Macaca mulatta: one gene and its partners. The protein of the gene in region 1 purifies or fractionates together with the protein of each later gene. This does not show direct contact. Links are inferred from orthologs where the notes say so. Each region holds a gene or a part of one and is shown on either strand. Other genes may lie near its edges.

Region 1 (4,293 bases):
GGTAAAAGAGACGCCACGGTCGTTCTCGCCCCAGCCCTGCACGTCCTTGTCAGGGTCAGACCACAGCAGGTCACACAGCAGGCCCTGGTCAGGCACGTCTGTGGGCCGCATGATCCGCCGAATCTGCTCCATGGACTGCAGGTCCGGGGAGAGGCCTGGAGGGCCAGAAGGAAGGTCACTTCCTCAAACAAGGACATCCTTCCTCCAGGAAGCCTTGGCCAGTGAGCCTCACCTTTTCCACCACCCTCCTGGTCCCTCCACTGGTCTCCTGGGTGCCTAGGCAGGCAGAAGCCATCCCCTTCCCCTCAGCTTTTTCAAGTTCCCAAACAGGCACAAAGGCGCCCCTGGCCTCCGGAGCACAGAGCTCCTGGGAGAAAGGAGACAAGCCCGCCCCATGTAGGATGCACATCAAGGAAGTGAGTGCAGCCCAGCACAGGGGGGTATGGGAGACACTTCCTGAAAGGAGTGACTTCCCAGATGACAACTAAGGAGAGCTCACCTCCGTGGCAGCAAAAGATCTTTTCGTCCACTATGGCCGCAATGGGCAGGCAGTTGAAGCAGTCAGTGAACGTTTTCCACAGTTTGATGTTGTAGCGTCTCTTGCCTGCCCAGAGGGAGGTAGCTGTGAGGGGTCTGCCTGCTCCACCCTTAGCCGGGGTCTCTGGGCTATTCAGCCGCAGATGGGAGAGAGTCAGGCACCAATGCAAACCACCCCCACCCCTGCCGCCTGTCAGCCTTCCAGGAGTAATTCTAGTTACTTTTTATTTTAATTTGTAATTTAAACAAACAGGATCTGGGCAGGGCATGGTGGCTCACACCTGTAATCCCAGCACTTTGGGAGGCTGAAGCAGGCAGATCACCTGAGGTCAGAAGTTCAAGACCAGCCTGACCAACATGGAGAAACCCTGTCTCTACTAAAATACAAAAAAATTAGCCAGGCGTGGTGTCGCATGCCTGTAATCCCAGCTACTCGGGAGGCTGAGGCAGGAGAATCGCTTGAACCCGGGAGATGGAGGTTGTAGTGAACTGAGATCACACCACTGCACTCCAGCCTGGGCAACAAGAGCGAAACTCCGTCTCAAAAAAGTAAAGAAACAGGGTCTTGTTCAGTCACCCAGGCTGGAGTGCAGTGGCAAGATCATAGCTCACTGTAACTTGGAGCTTCTGAGTCCAAGTGATCTTCCCGCCTCAGCCTCCCACCAGAAGTAATTCTAAAGCACCCGAGTCCACTGGAAACTGAGTTCCAATCTGGACCAGCCTCAGGGTTGGCACTCCTTGCACGCCCCGGCCCACGAGCCGGGCCAAGTACAGGTCTGGTTTATCTCAGCTTCTGGACAGCAGAGCTCATCTGCAAACATCCTAAATGCTTAGTAGCAAATGTAGAGGGAACGTCACCAGGCAGGGCCCTGGGGGAAAGCACTAGAATACGGACAGTCCTTCAGTCAGCAACCATTCCCCAGACCCCATGCCAGGAGGGGCAGGGCAGGCACAAGAACGGACCTGGGCCCTGCCTTCGTGGAGTGCACAGTCTAGCAAGTGTCTGTCAGATATCAGGCCAATGTGAAGGTCCCACTGAATGACAAGGAGTGTGGTTCAGGACCCGGGCAGCCCCAGACGCTCAGACCACTCACACTCATCGTAGAAACCGTAGATGCGGTTGATGCTGGCGCACTCGTGGTTCCCACGGAGCAGGAAGAAGTTCTCGGGGTACTTGATCTTATAGGCCAGCAGCAGGCAGATGGTCTCCAAGGACTGCTTGCCCCTGTCCACATAGTCCCCCAGAAAGAGGTAGTTGCTCTCCGGAGGGAAACCGCCATACTCAAATAGTCGCAGAAGGTCATAGTACTGGCCGTGTATATCACCTGTGACCCAGGGAATCGGGTAAGCTAGATGCAGGGTCTAGACCTGAACCCAGGACCAGGACTGGGCTCAAGGGAGGAGGACTCCAGGAACTCTGTGGGGGCCAGTGCCACTTTCAGGAAAGCAAGGGGACCTGGGTCGGGGGGCTCACCGCAGATCTTGAGGGGTGCCTCCAGCTCCAGAAGAATGGGCTGGCTCAGGAAAATCTCCCGGGATTTCAGGCACAGGCCGCGGATCTCGTTCTCTGTCAGCTGTACATTCTTGCCAGGCCGCGAGCCCTGCACTGGGGGCGCAATGGGGTGTCAAGACCCGGGACCCTGACAGGTGGAGGGTGGGCGACACGGGTGGCCCCATGGATACCTCCGGGGGCGCCTAGGCCTCCTCGGCCGCTCCTTGCCCGCAGGCAGCTGTTGCTGCTGAGCCTCCCGGGACCTCGGCCTCAAGCCTCCCAAGGGAAGCCCCCAACTACCCTCAGCGCCTCGGGAGGCGACTGTCGTGCGCAGGGGGCTGCCACCCAAACACCTCACAGCGCAGGACCCCTTCCTGGACCGGGCTTCCCGGGTTTCTCCCTCGCCTCAAGAACCCAGGCAACCCGTGCGCCCCCGGCCCGGGAGAGGGGGCTGCTCCGCGCGTCGGAGCGGGCCCAGGACCTCTCAGGCGCGTCCGCGGGGGGGCGGCTGCGGCCACCGAACCTCGCGGCCCGTCCCCGCCCAGTCTAAGCTGGCCCCGGGGGCCCGCCCGCGCGCCACTTCCGGGCCCGGCAGGGGGCCCGGGAGCGGCGGACGCAGGCCTCCCCCGCCGCGACCAACCTTCTAGCAGGCGCCCGATGATCGAGTCAAGGTTGAGCTTCTCGCTATCGGACATGGCGGCGCCGCCGCTCCAGCCCAGCAGCTCCGGGCCCGCTCCTGCCTCCCGCCCTCCGGCAGCCTCCTTCCGGCCTGGCTCTCCTTCCGCCCGCCCCAGTCCGCCCCCGGCCCGCGGCCCCGCCTCCGGGCCTCCCGGGCCCGCCCCGCCCGGTCCCCCGCGCTCTAGCGCCCCCGCTGGACGTGAAGCGCCGCGGCCTGGGGGGCGGGGCCTTGGCGGCGGGGTCTGTCGGGGGCGCGTCCAACTGGTTACGCCCCAGAGGAGGCGCCCAGCCCGGTTCAGAGGATGTGGGGCCGGAAGAACTGTGGAAGTTGTTTTTCTCTTTCAAAAGCAGAACAGCCGTTCCCACCCCTGCCCTGGGTGGAGGGTGTTGTGAATATATTAATAACCGGCTGCTAGGCACTGAGGGTTAACTGCTCGAAGTGCAGGAAAGGAAACTGAGGCTCAAGAGATATGAACAGACTGGTGCAAGACCTGGACCTCGCATTCACGTACGACCCCCTTTTTCGTGGGTCTCCGTGGCCCCCAGGCGGCTGACCACACTCAAAGACAGCTACGGCTGAACTTCCAGCGCACTTTGGTCCTTGGGGCATGATAAATTAATATTTTCTTACAAGTCCCATAATTAGCTTTTATTTATTTATTTTTTTTGAGACAGAGTTTTGCTCTGTCGCCTAAGCTGGAGTGCAGTGGCGCGACTTTGGCTCACTGCAACATTCGCTTCCCAGGTTCAAGGGGTTCTCCTGCCTCAGCCTCTGGAGTAGCTGGGATTGCAGGCGCGCGCCACTGCGCCTGGTTTTTGTGTGTTTAGCAGAGGTGGGGTTTCGCCATATTGGCCCGGCTGGTCTTGAACTCCTAACCTCAAGTGATCCACTGGCCTCGACCTCCCAAAGTCCTGGGGGGGTTACAGGCGTGAGCCAACAAGCCTGGCCCCATAATTAGCTTTTGAGTAGCACAGTAATATTGCAGGGTGTGCACGTAAAAAGAATTACTATATGAGCAGACATGGCTGGGTGCAGTGGCTCACGCCTGTAATTCCAGCGCTTTGGGAGGCTGAGGTGGGAGGATCGTTTGAGGTCAGGAGTTCAAGACCAGCCTGGCCAACATGGTGAAACCCCATCTCTCTAAAAATACAAAAAGTTAGCTGGGCATGATGGCAGCCGCCTGTAATCTCAGCTATTGGGGAGGCTGAGGCAGGAGAATCACTTGAACCTGGGAGGCGGAGGTTGCAGTGGGCCAAGGCCCATTGCACCCCCTAGCCGAGGTGACAGTGTGAGACTCTGTCTCAAAGGAGCAGACGATAAATTAACCTTAATTCTTGTTGGAACCCTGAGTTGGGTGCTTTACATGCCAGTAACCTCAGAACTGGAGGTGGGCCTGCTGTGGCGGCTTAGGCCTGTAATTCCAGCACTTTGGGAGGCTGAGGTGGGATGGTCTCTTGCGTCCAGCCTGGGCAACACGGCGAAACCTCATCTCAACAAAAAAATACAAAAATTAGCTGGGCATGGTGGTGCACGCCTGCAGTCCCAGCTACTAGGGAGGCTGAGGCAGGAGGATCTCTTGAGACCA
Region 2 (6,125 bases), on another chromosome or scaffold:
TCACATTCTTTGGCCATCACCCAGAGAAAAATTAATCTAGCCACCTGTCTCTGGGAAGCCTGAGGCTCTTCTCTGGCTAGTTTGCATTCATCTTTTGCCCTTAACAAATCTGAACATAAAAACAGTACTAAAAACATCTGATGTGAAGAGGTGCTTGGTTTACCAGTGCTGTAAGATAATGGTAGTGGAGGTGTCCATGCTTATTATACCATAGAGTTAAAGTAAAGACTGGATCCAAATCATAACAGAAAAAGAGCAAGAAAGAAAGAACAAAAAAGATATGTAGAGACATAACAAATAGAGGGACCAGGGAACATTCTGCATTAAATATGTAACCTTATTAAACAGTCAACATTCAAATTTACATGGGCAAGGCACCACGAACGTGACATTGAGAAGGTATATCTCAATATGCAAGCCATTGCAAGGTGGGAGGTGGGGGAGGTTAAGGGAATATGCTGGCTGACATGGTCAGTGGTCTGTGTGCTGCCACTTCAGTGCATAATCAGGCAAGGAGTTATGTGCACATGGTCTATACTAAGATGAACCAAACACCAACCTTCAAGGCAAGGAGCGGCTGTGCCAGAGGATACCAAGAGTGGACTGCTGGCCTGCAGCAGCATGCCCACTCCATGGCCATTCCTAGGAGCAGAGCCCTGCACTCTGGCTAGAGGAGGCAAGACTCTTTGTGGGCTAACCAGCCTTCCTCCCTGTGAATCCTATATTGCTGGCCAGGTGATAAGGACATTCTCCATATAGAGCCTCACATATTCCAATCACTTAAAAAAATAATAAGAGCACAATAAAATACATTATTCTCCTTTCCTGATCCTCTTTCATATACATGAATCACATGAAAGGCTGTTAAAAATGTTAAAAGTTTAGAAATTTCCAAGGCCACTAATGTGCTATGTAAGTAATACTGCACAATCAGTCTTGGCTTTAAGGAAACTCTGCACTGGTAGATGAGGGGCCTCAGGGCTCACTCACTCACTAGGCACAGAGAACATGTCTGTCAACCCTGCCACAGGTTGCTTCTCTAGAGGCGTGGCCTCTACTTCCAGCATGCGTGTGCACGCACACATGGGCACACAAGTGTACACACACATTGTTCGAGTGACTCTTGGGATTTCAAGGTCAAAGTAAACACATACTCACAGTTTTGAATAAAACAAGCACAGGTGCACATGTGTATACACACACACAAACACACACACACACACACACACCCCCCAGTGGAAGGAACGCTCATCTCTTAGCGCAAATATGTGCCAAGGGAAGAAGGGGGAAGGTTTCTGTAGACTCGCTTCAGGTGAAGTTGCAACATAAACACTGTAATATACAGCTAAAAAAATACATACAAAAATTGCACATATATCCATAGGAGGGGAGCACAGGCTGCACACATGGTGAACAGCTCTCAATCACCCACCTCAGCAATCAGAATTCTCGTGAGCTGTCCTCCAGAGCCATTTTAGAGAGAGTCAGAAGGAACAATGAGCCACTTACACTGGGAGGCAGTCTCTCTAAAAGAGGTCAACATTCTAAGGAGGTCAGCAGTCTCATCAGTGGCCTTCTTCCCCTCCCCTGCCTACGGCCATCCCAACAGCCCACCTCACTGTGCCCTGTAAGATCTTAGAGCTCCACCGACAGCTATTTCATTCAGGGCAATTGTTTACAGCATTTGCTAAACTAGTTAACACTGGCTACTGATAGAAGGGAGCTGGCCAATTACTGCTCAGGGGAAAACTGCAAATGCTGACAGTTCTGACAGTAATCAAAGGGTACTTTAAACTCTGTTCCCTGATGGCCCCTAGAGAATTGCACATGCAAGAAAATCATCTCCTCATGCCCTGCCAGCTATTTATAAGCTCTGAACTGCACTCCACCCTGCTGAGGCATTGGTGACACCACCTTGGGTCAGCTCTGTAATGGGCCACAAGTGGCTGATAAATCCAAACATCACTGGCAAGTGGGGACAGAGTAGAGAATCAGGCAGTGGCAGCAGAGGGGAGACTATTAGGGCTGTCCTCCATGCAGTGCACATACTTACAGATAATGGCAATGAAAATGGGTTGATGACCCAAGGATGGGATCTCTCCTTTTCTTTCTACTCTCTCCTGGAACAAAGGATATAGTCCCTGGTAACCAAAACTGGGCTGATGCTAAAGATGGCAGTTCTGCCTAGTAAGTCAGTTGTTGACACCTTAAAGGAAGAGTCTGTTGTCAGAGTCTACTGGGTCATGGTAGAGACTGGTTAAGTCTGTCTACTGCTAGTGAGAATAAATACTCGGTGCTAAAAAGATAGGTGATATCCAGAATTATAGAAGAAATGGACACAGCTCACTGGCTCACTGAGTTCATACCAAAGAAGCTGTCCCTTCAAGAATATGGATTTTCATTTTTACCTGCATTTTCTTCTATTAGGATAGAAGGTGTTTCAAAGGAAGGCAACCGCAAGTTTGTGCAGCTGAATTTCTGTAAAGTTAAGACAGACTCAGCTTCTCATTCAATTTGGGGCAGTGGATAACCTTTCTGAATGGACCTACTTGTTCATGGACAGGGATAGAGGTTTGTCTTTCTTCTTTCCTTGAATTTGGAGTGAGCACTAGGAAGGGGAAGTGCATGGGTGACATGAAGAAGGTGAAGATGTGGTAAAAGCAGCATCCAGGTACACATTAACGGTGCTGTAGAATTTTCACAATACAACTGAGGGAGTCTGTAGTGGCAAAAGCCAAATACTGAGCACAAAGCCAGTCCTCAAGGCTGATCCCACCTTCCCTGTCCAGGGACTTCTCAGCAAACTTGATCATGAGCAGTGTTCGCTTGATGTCTAGCCAGTTTTGGAGCAGGGTGTTCCTCTGCACTAGGCTAGGGCAGGCGGTGAAAGTCTGGAAGAGATCTTCGCGGGGGCCCCAGAGCAGACACTGGAGGATGCCTTTGGCGTCTGAAATGAGGATCCGCTCAGAAGGGTTGGGATTCAGGAGGCAGCTGGCCAGCTGCTGCAGACCCCGGGAGTAGGGGGAGCGGAGCGGGATGCGAGGCAGGTCTGCTCGTGTGTATTCCCTCTCCTTCAGCTCTGGGTTCTCATCAAAGGGGTTGGGTAGGTGCAGCATCTCATAGATAAGGATGCCTGTCTGGAACTCATCACACTTTTTATACTGGGTAGCTGTTATGATCTCTGGGGCAAGGCGAGACTGGTCCCGGAGGATCTCGGGGTCCACCAGATGGCTCTTCTGTTTGGCCTGAGAGAAGTTGCTCACTATAAGCCTAGTGGGATAAGATGAGGTGGGGCTGGGCTCCGCAGGCCCAAAGCCTTGGGCAGTGCCCCCAGGCTGGTAGTGGACAAGTAGCAGGTTCTCTAGGCGTAGATCGCAGTGAGTGACATGGTAGGGTTTGAGGTGCTCAAGACCAGAGCATAGCTGTAAGAGCAGCAGACACACCTGCCTCTCATACAAATCAGGGCTTTTCCCATGCTGGGCTAGAGAGTCTCGCACAAAATCAGCCACAGTGAGACATGGAACTTCCCTGGTGATGACTACAACATGGCTCCTCTGCTTCTTGCTCATGACTCCCTGGCTGTCTTTCTGGGATGATGCTGCTTCAGAACAGGGCTTTGGGTTTTTCCCATCCGTTTCTCCTTTGGCTTCTTCTTCAGTCTCTTCCATGTCATCCTCTTCCTTTTCAGGGTCATCAGGATCCTCCCAGGGAAGCAGACGGTTAGGGACTTCAGCAAGGAAATGACCACAGTCCTGCTGAATGTTAAAATGGACAGCCAGACTCTGCCGGACAGCCAAGCTGTGATAATACTGCTGAGATTCTTTAGCTTTGCTCTTACAGATCTGAAAGATAATAAAACAATTTAAAACTCACACTCTCATAACCATGTTTATGATGTATCAGGAGGATTAACTACAAGGTGACTGGTTAGGGACAAACGATCATATAGTAAAGTTGTTAGCAAGGCTTGCCCCATGTTAAGTGACAATAATAATGGTGGTAACCGTTTCTCATGGTTGTCTACACATTCCAGGCTGTGGTGAGCACTTTCTGTGTACCATTTTTAGTCCTCACATTAACCTTTCAAAGTAGATTAAGGATCTAAGAATTTAAAAAAGAAAAAAAGCCCAGGGTTATGTTTGCAAACCTAAGTTTGTGTAATGCCAAAGCCTGCTCTTTCCACTATAACCTTGCACCTCATCAGAACAACAATGAAATAATTTTTCACTTACTTCTGTAGAGGTTTGTAGCCCAGACTGATAGAGCGGGCCAACAGACTCATAATGGAGACCAGAATACCTTATTTCATCACCCATCACCCTTTGTGTCAACATCTCACAGGGAAGGAGAGGGATATAACATTGGCCAGGTAAACTGTGGGTTTTCCTAACTTTTCAGTGAATGTCATTGTGATGGTCACAACACTGGCACTCATGGATCACTGGTAGGGTTGAGAGAGTCACTGGTCTGACCTAGTCAGAACAAAACCATCATTTCAATGGCGGTTGTCTGAGTTTTATGCTTTCTCTTAACAGGCCTCATTTAACACCCGCTATTGAGGCAATAAGACCTTTCCTAAAGAACTTTATTAAGTGGTTATGGATCAAGGAAGAATTTTTTGATCAAAAAAAGTTAGCCAAGAGTTCTATATACTGTGATGATTGTATTTCTACTCTAAGGGGTTATCAAACCAAAAAGTAAAACCACCCCCAAATGGGCTATCCTCATGCTATAGAGAGGCTGACAGTGGAAGACTCAAGTCTCTAATACTAGTTCATGGATCATAATAGTCTGGCCTGGAGTCCGCTCCACAGCCCTGTTAACTGAGGGTCATTCTCTGCTGTCCCTCCTCAGCAGGGGCACACTGCCACATATTACAAATATCAAAGGCTTCCAGCAACATGCACTCTCTGTAGTGTTTACACTGCGTGTTTATTACAATAATACAGAAAAGCAAATTTTAAAAAAGCAATTTTTAGTAATTTTTATTTAAAAAGAAAAATGTATACATTCTTAGGAGGATTCAGATGGGTCCCCAGTTCTGAGAAGCAGCACATTCTGATTTCCATTCAAATACATTAAAAAAACAAAAACAAAAACAAATCAAAGGCAAGGGAGTCTCAAGGGAAAAAAGCATCTCTCTCTCTCTCTCTCTCTCTCTCTCTTATTCTCTAGTTTATCATATTTATTACAGTTAAAGAGGTTTGATGTCAGTGACCAGTGCCATGGAAATCAATCAATCAATCAATCAATCTATACCTAAGCACAATTTCCTTCAAGTCTTCTACTCTATCTAATTCAGTTTGAGGATATACAAAGTATTTCTTTTTTAAGCAAACTTCTGGTCTTGAACAGACGTCCCCAGCCTGAGTTCAAGTTCAAACATATATCTTTCAGAAAATATTATCTCTGGAAAGCTCTCGAAGTCTTAGTATATGCAGTATAATATATAATCCTATATGCTCATCAATCATAACATTTGTTATTTTTATAACTGCACTGTTGGCAATATTTCACATTTAAGTGTTACCAGGTATTTAAAAATTCTATACTAGTCATTGTTTAGTTGCACAGGAGTTGGATCCAGCACATGGCACCATGAACCCCATTGCCAGTTAAGTTTGCCGAATATTACATCGTCTTCTGGAATGAAAGTTCAAGGGTCTCAACTCTTCAATCTTTTTTTTTTTTTTTTTTTTGTTGAGACGGAGTCTCGCTCTGTCGCCCGGGCTGGAGTGCAGTGGCCGGATCTCAGCTCACTGCAAGCTCCGCCTCCCGGGTTTACGCCATTCTCCTGCCTCAGCCTCCCGTGTAGCTGGGACTACAGGCGCCCGCCACCTCGCCCGGCTAATTTTTTGTATTTTTAGTAGAGACGGGGTTTCACCGTGTTAGCCAGGATGGTCTCGATCTCCTGACCTCGTGATCCGCCCGTCTCGGCCTCCCAAAGTGCTAGGATTACAGGCTTGAGCCACCGCGCCCGGCCTCAACTCTTCAATCTTTGAAAATGCTATCAAATACATCCAAATTTAGCTGGATCAGATTGGATGGTTAAACTCTAGCTGTTACATTATAAAAAAGGACACTCTCCAAGGGCTTGGGAGGCCTGGGATTTAGTTTTGCTACTA
Region 3 (5,229 bases), about 6.5 Mb from region 1:
TGTCTCGACGCGCAGCCCGCGGGTAGCAGCCGCCGCGTTTCCGCGTTGTTAGCCGGGTGGAGGTGGGGGCGGGGACCGCGGCTCGGCCCGTCCCTCCGACCCGCCCATACCTGGAGTCTCTGGGGGCGGGGCGCTGCGGCAGGCCAATGGATCGGGGAGGGGCGTGACAGAGACAGCCAATGGGCGCGGGGGAGGGGGCGGAACACCCGCGCTGAGCAGCCAATAGAGGCGCTGGGGGCGGGGCGTGCGGGCCGCGGGCCAATGGGGGCGCGGGTCCGGGGCGCGCCGCGGCGCTGGGGGCGGCAGGTTGCGGCGGCGCCTGAGCGGGTACAGAGGCTGGCGAGCGCCCAGGTGAGCCGCGCGGGGTCCCGGGGCCTCTCGAGTGCGGGGCGCTCCTCTAGCCGGCAGGGCGCCGACTCCAACTGGGGAGAGTTTTCCGCGATGCCGGGACGGAGGGCGGGGGCGGTGCCGCACCTGCGCCCTCCCTGCGGAGCGGGGACGCCCTGGCTCCCGCCAGGCTGGGGTCGCGGCGCGGGCATCCCTGCCTGCCGCGGGGACCGGGACCTTCGGGGCGAGTGCAGCGATTGGGCGGCAGCGGCGGGGCTCCCCGCGGTGGCTGGGGCTGTTCAGACCCCGAGTACGCCCGATCTGCAGGGTCGAGGTCTTGGTCGCGACCCCGAGCGCCTCTGCGGCCTGAGCAGGTCCGGGTGGGGCGTTCCCATGGCGGCGGCCGCGGGGCCTGGCGTGCGGGCGCCTCCGCGCCGCCCGGGGAGGGGGCAGTGCCCTCCGAGCCAGGTGAGGCGGGCAGGAAATCCTGGATCTGGTTAATGATTCTCCTTGTTCCGGGAGTGCGGGCGTGGCAAGAGTAGGCTGGTGAAGTGGGGGAGGATGCGTGCTCCGGAGGGCCGCCACCCTAGGAATGTGTGGCCGGCGGGTGGGGCTGGCACAGGAGGGTTGGGCCCATGCTGAGGGGTCGCAGCCCAGCCGTTTCTAGGGCAGTCCAGGAGAAGGAAGAGAGGAGGACCAGGCTTTGATAGGGGTAGGTAGGTCCTGACCCTGTGGCCTGCACCCTCCCCACAGAACAGGGATGTTGTTGGGGCTGGCGGCCATGGAGCTGAAGGTGTGGGTGGATGGCATCCAGCGTGTGGTCTGTGGGGTCTCGGAGCAGACCACCTGCCAGGAAGTGGTCATCGCACTGGCCCAAGCAATAGGTGAGTCCTCTTGGGGTTAGGCAGGCTGGGCAGGTAGAGCTGAAGTGGGACCTGGTGGTCCGGCCCCATGGTCCCCCAGAAGGAGAGTGGTCCAGCCCCGTGGCCACCCCCCCCCCCGGAGGAGAGTGGTCCAGCCCCGTGGCACCCCCCGGAGGAGAGTGGGACTGGTTGCTGATCCTTTTGGTCCTCCCCAATTCCTTAAGCCAGGTGGACAGAGAGTTGGGGGGACATAGGCTGATCTTCTCCTCTCCCCCCCAGGCCAGACTGGCCGCTTTGTGCTTGTGCAGCGGCTTAGGGAGAAGGAGCGGCAGCTGCTGCCAGAGGAGTGTCCAGTGGGCGCCCAGGCCACCTGCGGACAGTTCGCCAGTGATGTCCAGTTTGTCCTGAGGCGCACAGGGCCCAGCCTGGCTGGGAGGCCCTCCTCAGACAACTGTCCACCCCCGGAACGCTGCCCAATTCGTGCCAGCCTCCCTGCAAAGCCACGGGCAGCGCTGGGCTGTGAGCCCCGCAAAACACTGACCCCCGGGCCAGCCCCCAGCCTCTCACACCCTGGGCCTGCGGCCTCTGTGACACCCACACCAGGTTGCTGCACAGACCTGCGGGGCCTGGAGCTCAGGGTGCAGAGGAACGCTGAGGAGCTGGGCCACGAGGCCTTCTGGGAACAGGAACTGCGTCGGGAGCAAGCCCGGGAGCGAGAGGGACAGGCACGCCTGCAGGCGCTAAGTGCGGCCACTGCTGAGCATGCCGCCCGGCTGCAGGCCCTGGATGCTCAGGCCTGTGCCCTGGAGGCTGAGCTGCAGCTGGCAGCGGAGGCCCCTGGGCCCCCCTCACCTATGGCATCTGCCACTGAGCGCCTGCGCCAGGACCTGGCTGTTCAGGAGCGGCAGAGTGCGGAGGTGCAGGGCAGCCTGGCTCTGGTGAGCCGGGCCCTGGAGGCTGCAGAGCGAGCCCTGCAGGTGAGCCTGGGGACCTGTTCCTCTGTCACTTCCCCACCCCTTATACCGGCAGATTCGGGGGTCACAGGGTCTGACCTGGGGGGCAGGTGAGCCTGGGGACCTGATCCCCTGTCACTCCCCCACCCCTGATACGGGCAAATATAGGGGTCACAGGGTCCGACTGGGGAGGCAGGTGAACCTGTGGACCCGATCCCTGTCACTCCCCCATCCTTGACACAGGTAGACATGGGGGTCACAGGGTCCTACTCGGGAGGCAGGTGAGCCTGGGGACCTGATCCCCTGTCACTCCCCCACCCCTGACACCGGCAGATATGGGGGTCACAGGGTCCGACTCAGGAGAGCACTCCCTCTGGGGCCTGAGCATGGAGCCCTGTGGCTATACCTCCTGAGGGTCCCATGTGCCCCCAGGCTCAGGCTCAGGAGCTGGAGGAGCTGAACCGGGAACTCCGTCAGTGCAACCTGCAACAGTTCATCCAGCAGACTGGGGCTGCGCTGCCACCGCCCCCACGGCCTGACAGGGGCCCTCCTGGCACTCAGGTCGGAGTGGTTCTTGGGGGAGGCTGGGAGGTGAGGACCTGGCCCAGCCCCACTCCAAGCTGACTTCCCAACCCACAGGGCCCTCTGCCTTCAGCCAGAGAGGAGTCCCTCCTGGGCAACCCCCCGAGTCCCATGCTGGTGCCCAGCCTAGGCCCCGAGGGTATGTCTGTGCTCCACCTCCCCCTGGGGCACTGGGCCCTCCTGTGGCTGCAGCCACCTCAGCCTGTGTCCTCCCGCAGTGGCCCCCATGAAGCAGAACTGGAGGTAGCAGCAGCTCCTGCCCCAGAGTGGTGTCCTCTGGCAGCCCAACCCCAGCCTCTGTGACAGCCTAGTGAGGGCTTCGAGACCAGCCTGCCCACACCACAGAAGGAGAGTTGGTGGTCACAGAGGGCTCCTCCCCCACACAGTGGGAAGCCCTGGGTTTGGCCTCAGGAGCTGGGGTACAGGGGGGGACTGCCCTAGTCCTTGCTGGTCTGCCAGCACCCTGGAAAAGCATGGGGCGTAGCCAGCTCAGAACCTGCCAGGCCCCCAAGGCCACGACTGCCTGTTGGGGACAGGAGATGCATGGACAGTGTGCTCAAGCTGTGAGCATGTGCTTGCCTATGGGAGGGGTCCTTCACTGTGTGTACATGGCAAAAGCACGTGTGTGCCACTTCCCTTACCCCAACGTGAAAACCTCAATAAACTGCCGGAAGCGGCTTGATTGTGTGCCGAAGCTGCGCCGGGCAGGGTCTGAGGCCTTGAACTTGAGCCTCCACGGGGTGCCACTGAGCAGTACCTTGAGACACCTGGGGCACGCCACAGCTGGAGTGTCTGAGAATTGGGTCCCTCAGGCACCAGTGCTCAGTAGGGCCCAGGGCTGGGGCTTCCTGGGCTCCACATTCCACCTGCTCTGCCTCACCTAACCCCAGGGGCTCTCCTGTGAGGCCCCAGCCTGGTGGGCCTGCTGGTTCAGCCCAGCCTGACTGTCCTGGGCTTGTCTGCACCCCCTCCCACCTGATTTCCGTCATCCTGTTGCCTGGGCCCCACCAGCAGCAGGAACTGAGGACACCAGGACAAGCTAGACCCGCCCGTCAGGTTTACTGAGAACTTGTGGGGGCGGGTCCCAGACTCAGGTCAGCCAGGCCCAGGCCACTTCACCAACCCAGGGAGGGCATGGGTACTAGTGGGCAGGGGCTCCCTCCTCCTCCCCAGGTGGGTGTGAAATGTCTGCTATGAGCTTGAAGCTTTGATATTGGGGCAGGGGCCGGGCACAGTGGCCCATACCTATAATGCCAGCACTTTGGGAAGCTGAAGGGGGGGATCACCTGAGATCAGGAGTTAGAGACCAGCCTGGCCAACGTGATGAAACCTCATCTCTACTAAAAATACAAAAAAATTGGCCAGGCGCGGTGGCTCACACCTGTAATCCCAGCACTTTGGGAGGCTGAGGTGGATGGATTACGAGGTTAGGAGATCGAAACCATCCTGACTAACATGGTGAAACCCTGTCTCTACTAAAAATACAAAAAATTAACCGGGCATGATGGTGGGCACCTGTAGTCCCAGCTACTCGGGAGGCTGAGGCAGGAGAATGGCACGAACCCGGGGTGTGGAGGTTGCGGTGAGCCGAGATCCCGCCACTGCACTCCAGCCTGGGTGACAGAGCAAGACTGTCTCCAAAATTAAAAAAAAAAAAAATCGTGTCCACATCCCAGCCCAGCCCCTGCCTGGGCCCTTGGGCTAGCTGTCACCTCTCCTGGTCCTCATGGTAAGCCATACACCCCCAACTCCAGGGGCCATGGTTAGAGTTAGAGAAGAATGTGGGGGACCCCTACACCTGGGTACAGCCATGGGTGGGACTGGGACAGAGGATGGGGATGCCCTAGGTCAGGGGTGTCCAATCTTTTGGCTTCCCTGGGCCACACTGGAAGAATTGTCTTGGGCCACACATGGAATACACTAATAGCTGATGAGCTTAAAGAAAAAATCGTTAAAAAAAATATTGCAATGATGGCCGGGCGCGGTGGCTCAAGCCTGTAATCCCAGCACTTTGGGAGGCCAAGGTGGGCGGATCACGAGGTCAGGAGATCGAGACCATCCTGGCTAACACGGTGAAACCCCGTCTCTATTAAGAAATACAAAAAACTAGCCGGGCGAGATGGCGGGCGCCTGTAGTCCCAGCTACTCGGGAGGCTGAGGCCGGAGAATGGCGTGAACCCGGGAGGCGGAGCTTGCAGTGAGCTGAGATCCGGCCACTGCACTCCAGCCTGGGCGACAGAGCGAGACTCCGTCTCAAAAAAAAAAAAAAAAAAAATTGCAATGTTGGCCAGGCACAGTGGCTCATGCCTGTAATCCCAGCACTTTGGGAGGCCGAGGTGGGCGGATCACGAGGTCAGGAGATCGAGACCATCCTGGCTAACACGGTGAAACCCTGTCTCTACTAAAAATACAAAAAATTAGCTGGATGTGGTGGCAGGTACCTGTAGTCCCAGCTACTCAGGAGGCTGAGGCAGGAGAGTGGCGTGAACCCAGGAGGCAGAGCT
Region 4 (6,125 bases), on another chromosome or scaffold:
ACTGCTTTCAAATGAAAGAAATATAAATCTTTGATGAACTAGGATTCTAGAACACTTGCTTTTGCTGCCCATCGCCTACTCATTTTCAATTCCATGTTTTCATCAATTCCTATTTTGTAACACATTCTTATACTCTTTCAAAAAATATTTTCTAACGCTTTCCTTATTTTCCTTTGTTTTTTATACCTTAGTCTCCCTTTTACTGTTCTTTTATTTACTTGCTTTCTGGAACACCTTTTCTATCTCATCACCTGCTTTTTTCATGTCCAGATACTCTTACTCCCCGCCTCAAAATATTCAGTCTGTCTGAGTCTGCATATTGCTCAATGGCTGCCCCAAATATCCCATTTCAACTCTCAATTAACAGTTCCCCAGAGTTATTAAATCACTGCTTCTTCTGGCCTAGCCAACATGCTGCCACTCTTACTTATCTCCCCACAAAGCTACCATTCTCTCACATAATCCTGCCAAGTGGTAGAGGAATAGAATGTTTACATTAGCTCATACTAAAGTAAACGGATAATATCTTTACCACCTCCATCCTACCCTATACTCTTAGGAGGACAATATTTACTAAATAACTTCAATTGGTAAAATTTCATACAAATTAGGTAAAAAACTGAGATTGGGGATGTGTGTGATAGAGTTTGGGGAAGACTCACCTTTAAACATACAAAACAATTGATTTCCTAATATATTCCAGCCTTGGAATAGGCAACAAATTAGTTAATAAGAAAATACTGATCCTTACTGGGCTTTCCTGATTCTATCTGCTTCCTAAGGTCTGATTCAGCTATGGCTGAATTTGAAATTCTAATGACAGGAAGAAATGGAAAGAAGGGGGTGTGCCAAAGGTTTATTCCAATTTCCAACATCTGAGAGCAGATAATATTGTCAGTCATGGGGTCCTGGAACACTGAAGCTTCAGTGCTGGAAAAATGAGAGAGGTCTGATGTTCTCCTGAGTTATGGATTTAGGCAATCAGAAAGATCTCAAAGTTGTCCATCTCATATCTGTTCATCTCTCTCCTTCCTCTATCTGAATATGGAAATATTGTGATTATATGAAAGTAATGCTAATTACTGTTTATGGCTAATTACTCCATGGTACAGTAACAAACATCAAATTGCAGTTAGCTTTATTGTAAGCTTTACCTTAATAAAACACTATATTTTACTCAAGTGTTTAATCTTTATAGTTCCGTATATATAGCAGGTTTACTTTAGAAATTAAAACAATAGTAATGACAACCAGAGGGAACATTAGAAATGCCCCAAAAATACTGGTTGTATGAATTAATGAATATTATGTTTATTTAAAGTGGTACATGGCACTCATACATTCATTGAGCACCTACTATATGTAGATCTTTATTTTATTTGGGGGAAGCAGTGCTGCAGATGTCACTGACAATTTGTTATGAGGATGGAGGAGGGCTTTATGCTGCCTTTAGAAGAACCTCACTAATATCCCTCACCCTTCAACCAGACCCCCCACAATGTTTCTATCTCTAGATTTCCTTTAGCTATACAACCAACTGGAAGATTGATTCTCCTTCTTCAACCCCTTGGATTACCCAGTTTTATTCTGGTCATCCATTAATTACTACTAACTAGCATGTGCTTTAAAGTTGCATCTGTACACAGTTACAGCTGCCTCAGAAAACAAGATCACCATTTGGAAACACTGCTCCAAAATTAGAATACAGAGTATCATATCAAATACAATGGCATCAAGGCTAGGCATGGTGGCTCACACCTGTAATCCTAGCACTCTGGGAGGCCAAGGCAGGCAGATCACCTGAGGTCAGGAGTTTAAAACCAGTCTGGCCAACATGGTGAAACCCCGTCTCTACTGAAAATACAAAAATTAGCCAGGCATGGTGGCAGGTGCCTGTAATCCCAGCTACTAAGGAGGCTGAGGCACAAGAATTGTTTGAATCTGGGAGGTGGAGCTTGCAGTGAGGCAAGATCATGCCACTGCACTCCAGCCTGAGTGACAGAGTGAGACTCCGTCTCAAAACAAAACAAACAAAAAAAAACAAAAAACAAAAACAATAACAACAACAAAAAAAACCTCTCTTCCCTGGACATCTTACATAGAAACACTGTTCAAAAACAGTAACAATAGTGATTTACAAAGACCGTGAGAAAGTACTACTTTGTGATTACAGCTCAGTTTCAGAATGGGTGCTAAGACAGAGCATTTTAACACTTTTTAAAAAGGGGCCATATCTCAAAATGACAGCACTTTCAATAATAAGTAGGCATAAGCACACTCTGTGACGTCTGCCCAAGGACGAAAATTGCTGAATGACACATTTCTCAGAACATATCTGCATCACTAAGGAATACATGACTGTGTTTACAGGGTCCAGTTTTTCACTGATACTCAGAATCACATAAACACTCTGATAACCACAGAGACCACACACTCTATCTATACACATTACATCCAAATATAAATGCATTCTCCAAACCCTCAAAAACATAAATGTTCAAGACCCACATCATATTTATATCTAATGTGCTGGGCAAACATATTTTAAAATACCAAAATAAAAGAGTCTTCTTTTTTTTTTTTTAAAAGAAAGATATGATATATATGAATAAAGGAAATAGATTTCTTTCTTTCACAGAAAGCTCAACATCTCCCTTTTCTGTTTTCTAGCCTGAGTATGCTTACTAATCAATACATCAACTGTGTTTTTTTTGGTAATGAATTGTACATTTTTTATGCTCAGTGTAAGAAGAAAGTCACATCATCAGAGGTAGTGTGACTGAATGAATGAATCACTTAGGTCTTAATCAAGGAGAAAAGAAAACTGAACACAGAAATAGTGAAGAAATAGTGACTATCCCAAGGTCTTCCAGAAACCACAATGCACAAAGTTAGTTTTCCTTTCAGTATTTTCTCTGCAGCAGCGATGGTGCCAAATCTCAGAGGGGATGGAAATTTCCTTGTCTCTATTGTTTGTTTAAGTTCTTAGAAAGGGTTTATAGGGCTCCAGTTTTCCTCCTGTTTGGAAGACAACTGAATTTATACAAATATAGCCAATTCATTCCAGGTTTAAAAAAACTTGATACAAACTCTAGGGAAGCAAGAAATGCTACTATTTTAAGTTTCAGATCCAAACCTAAAGGTTAAATTGTACATTAGTCCAATTAGTGATAAACTTCACTCACTGAACTCTCTGTAACTTCTCCTGTGCCAACATTATATTCTGCTAAAAATTAAAGAAGCTATGCCTATTGGAAAACTTTTATGTGCTACTCTTTTCTTCAAAATCATATAAGTAGTGACCATTAAGTTAGAAAGGATGCTCTTTTCGCCTACCTAAGTACTTAATATGTCCATTTTTGTCTCCCACAGATTTTAATTAATAGAATGTCATTTCACACCCAGTGTGTAGCTTTCCTAGAACTGGTGAAGAGCAAAGTGTTTGGATTTACCTTGAGTGGTGAAGTTGAAGAGTGCAGGTGTGTCTCGCCCATTTGGTAGTTTGACATTTGGGTCCCGTAATTCATCAAAAAATGAATGTGCACAAGCTTCCAGTGGTGTTAGTCGGGCAGTTGGCGTATACTCCAGCAGACGGCTACACAGTGCAATTGCCTCTGGTGGAGTTCGGGGTCGGAAGACCTGCAGTACAAAAAAAGGGAAAGAATAATTAATGTTTTAAGAAACTAAGTAAATACCCTGTGAGCAATGACTTAATTACCACCATGCACAGAAACATGGTTGCATTTGGGAAAGGACCTTCTAGAATGGAAAAAGTTAAATGCATATGATTCACAGGAGTGAATTGCTAATTAAAGATTATATGAGAAATGCTCGGAGAAAAATCTATATATGCTAATCATAAAGTAACAACAATCAGACATGCATACAAAATATGATAGGCACACGGGAAAGGCTGAGTTCTGGAGGCAAGTACAACTAGAAAATTATTTCTTAAATTTTAAAGTTTTCACTGCTATGGCAGTAAATAAAAGATTGCCTCTTTTGCATTGTTTTTTAGCAGAACAATTGTTAATGATGGGCAGTACTGTTCAAAAATTTGGCAATCAAAAAGAAAAGAAAGAAGAGCTATTTACTCTAGGTCTATAAATGCTACTGATTTGGTATTATTTCCAATAAACAGAGCCTACCATTATTTGAAGAAATTCTTGAATACCTTGAATTTGATTAAATGTCCTATTTTTTTTTTCTCAAGTAGGTGTTACCATGAATATGGCCAGATTTCCCCCACTTGAATGAATATTCCAGGGTTTTAATCAAGGAGAAAAAAAATGTATTATCCATTAAGAATGATTAAGACACAGAAAAAGTGAGCTGAAGGCAATATTGAAGAAAAATTCAATTAAATTGATCTACTTAAAGGAATAGATAGCTTTCTACTAATTTGTGTCTTAAATAAAACTAATCATCAAAAACTATAAAAATATGCTTCATTCTAAATTATGGCCACCTACAGAATAAAAATAAAAAGGTAAGGAACAGAAATAAACAGACGAGAAGCCTTTGGAACTAAAGAAAAATGAAACATATATCCCTCGACAGGAAGAACATACAACCGGAGGTGGACAGAGAAGTAGACACTTATAAATGGAGGCAAACAGACCCACAAGTGAGAAAAGTCCATGCAGATTGTGACAGGGCATGGAGCAGCCTGGGAGGCTAAGGTTTCCTAGTAAGAATGGCTCATATAACATCTGGTTGTTCACTTATGCTGATGGTTAGAACTAGTTACAACTACAGAGCTCATTAGACTTTCCAGAGACTATTTATGAGTACTGTCTACAGTGAAAAGAGGATTGTATTTGTTTTTAGTTTATTATTGAAAAAGACATTTTCCATGAAAATTGAGAAATTAGGTAAAGCAGGCTCTTAGGAAATTATTTCAGAACATAAAGAAAGGCCTCAGTTAATTTCTTGGTTATGTTAAAAAGAAACCTTTTTGTAAGGTCAAAACCCGCCTCATCTATTCTTTTGAATACTCTGACTTGCCTCAGTCAAGGAAACCTTAGAGTTACTGTCAAATTTGAAAGGTTCAGCTCTTCTACTGTTATTGGTCCCCTCTCTTGCTCCCAAGGTCTATAATCATATACAGAATGTAAAAAGAAAATAATCAGTGGGAAAACCCAGAACATTTTTGTAAAAATATTAAACACCATTGGCATATTTTATCCCTGAAGGCAAGTTTGCTTCTGTTTGATAGTATAAGAATTTATTTTGCCAGCTAATCCAAAATGTTTTTGCACCAATATGGCAGCACATAAGTGGAATTAAAAGCAGCACCAAAAGTAGAAATAAATATCTCCTGCTAACATTCAAATGTAGGATGGCTGGGCACTGAGTTATTTTAAATAAAAAAATTTCATGTTATATTTTCAAAGATTTTGTGTTAAAGCTGTTAATAAACCTGTATTACAAGCTTGTTTCTGCTATTTTTTTAAGTCACCCATCTCTTTTGGTGTTTTACTGGCTACAAGTGATCATCCATATTGGTACTAAGACATTTATTAGCGTATATTTGTCAGAGAATCGTAACTCACGAAATTCAACAGTTAAAAACAATAAAGAAAATAATACATGCCAAGAGCCTACTTTAAAATCAAGATTTAACCTGCCTTTACAAAACGTATACACTGTTATTTTAAACCCTTGAGAGATTCTTGATGAGAAAAGCCTTGGTTCAGTACTCTGTGAATAAAGGTTAAGTGGAAAACTATGTAGGGTCAAAACCCAGTATCTCCCACAGTTCAGATTTCTGACCATAATACAGGGTGAGTTAGCATGTAACTTCTAAAAATTACAGGGCAAACTAGAAACTAGCTCATCTGAATTATTTTTGCTTCTAAAGAAAAGGAAACCACCAAGAACTGAAATTTGTCTTTTAATTAAAGAAGCTTCCACTGTCACTTCTTTCCTTACTCAATGAAATTGCTTAACACTCAGACCTTTGGTTTCATGGATCTTCATCAATATTTATTCTTGTAATAGAAATAATAATCTTAAAATCCCACAATTCCTAAACTTCAGCCTAGATGTCAATGAATCACCCAAGAGACTGACAATCTAAATATACTATAAACGAAACCTATGCCATACAGTGAATAAAAACA

Evidence for each region. Proteins that work in one complex are often made in the same cells at the same time.
Region 2: the proteins of PPP1CA (region 1) and PEAK1 purify together in Homo sapiens (affinity purification with mass spectrometry; 3 studies listed by BioGRID and IntAct, counting the BioPlex papers as one, with this or other methods). This does not show direct contact. The link is inferred for Macaca mulatta from reciprocal best matches to the Homo sapiens genes PPP1CA and PEAK1.
Region 3: the proteins of PPP1CA (region 1) and RASSF7 purify together in Homo sapiens (affinity purification with mass spectrometry; 3 studies listed by BioGRID and IntAct, counting the BioPlex papers as one, with this or other methods). This does not show direct contact. The link is inferred for Macaca mulatta from reciprocal best matches to the Homo sapiens genes PPP1CA and RASSF7.
Region 4: the proteins of PPP1CA (region 1) and GSK3B purify together in Homo sapiens (affinity purification with mass spectrometry; 4 studies listed by BioGRID and IntAct, with this or other methods). This does not show direct contact. The link is inferred for Macaca mulatta from reciprocal best matches to the Homo sapiens genes PPP1CA and GSK3B.

Annotation. Positions count from the first base shown.
Region 1 is NC_133419.1:6,981,878-6,986,170, reverse strand, and holds the start of PPP1CA (serine/threonine-protein phosphatase PP1-alpha catalytic subunit), read right to left. Parts: upstream 2,801-4,293; 5' UTR 2,725-2,800; coding exon 2,670-2,724; intron 2,144-2,669; coding exon 2,012-2,143; intron 1,863-2,011; coding exon 1,632-1,862; intron 605-1,631; coding exon 500-604; intron 156-499; coding exon 1-155. UniProt on the Homo sapiens protein: Protein phosphatase that associates with over 200 regulatory proteins to form highly specific holoenzymes which dephosphorylate hundreds of biological targets.
Region 2 is NC_133412.1:55,255,073-55,261,197, forward strand, and holds part of PEAK1 (inactive tyrosine-protein kinase PEAK1), read right to left. Parts: intron 3,843-6,125; coding exon 2,679-3,842; 3' UTR 1-2,678. UniProt on the Homo sapiens protein: Probable catalytically inactive kinase. Scaffolding protein that regulates the cytoskeleton to control cell spreading and migration by modulating focal adhesion dynamics. Acts as a scaffold for mediating EGFR signaling.
Region 3 is NC_133419.1:450,890-456,118, forward strand, and holds the end of RASSF7 (ras association domain-containing protein 7), read left to right. Parts: intron 1-304; exon of another isoform or gene 305-795; intron 796-1,080; coding exon 1,081-1,211; intron 1,212-1,469; coding exon 1,470-2,167; intron 2,168-2,575; coding exon 2,576-2,704; exon of another isoform or gene 2,705-2,782; coding exon 2,783-2,864; coding exon of another isoform or gene 2,865-2,943; coding exon 2,944-2,972; coding exon of another isoform or gene 2,973-3,028; 3' UTR 3,029-3,403; downstream 3,404-5,229. UniProt on the Homo sapiens protein: Negatively regulates stress-induced JNK activation and apoptosis by promoting MAP2K7 phosphorylation and inhibiting its ability to activate JNK.
Region 4 is NC_133407.1:163,859,788-163,865,912, reverse strand, and holds part of GSK3B (glycogen synthase kinase-3 beta), read right to left. Parts: intron 3,640-6,125; coding exon 3,453-3,639; intron 1-3,452. UniProt on the Homo sapiens protein: Constitutively active protein kinase that acts as a negative regulator in the hormonal control of glucose homeostasis, Wnt signaling and regulation of transcription factors and microtubules, by phosphorylating and inactivating glycogen synthase (GYS1 or GYS2), EIF2B, CTNNB1/beta-catenin, APC, AXIN1, DPYSL2/CRMP2, JUN, NFATC1/NFATC, MAPT/TAU and MACF1.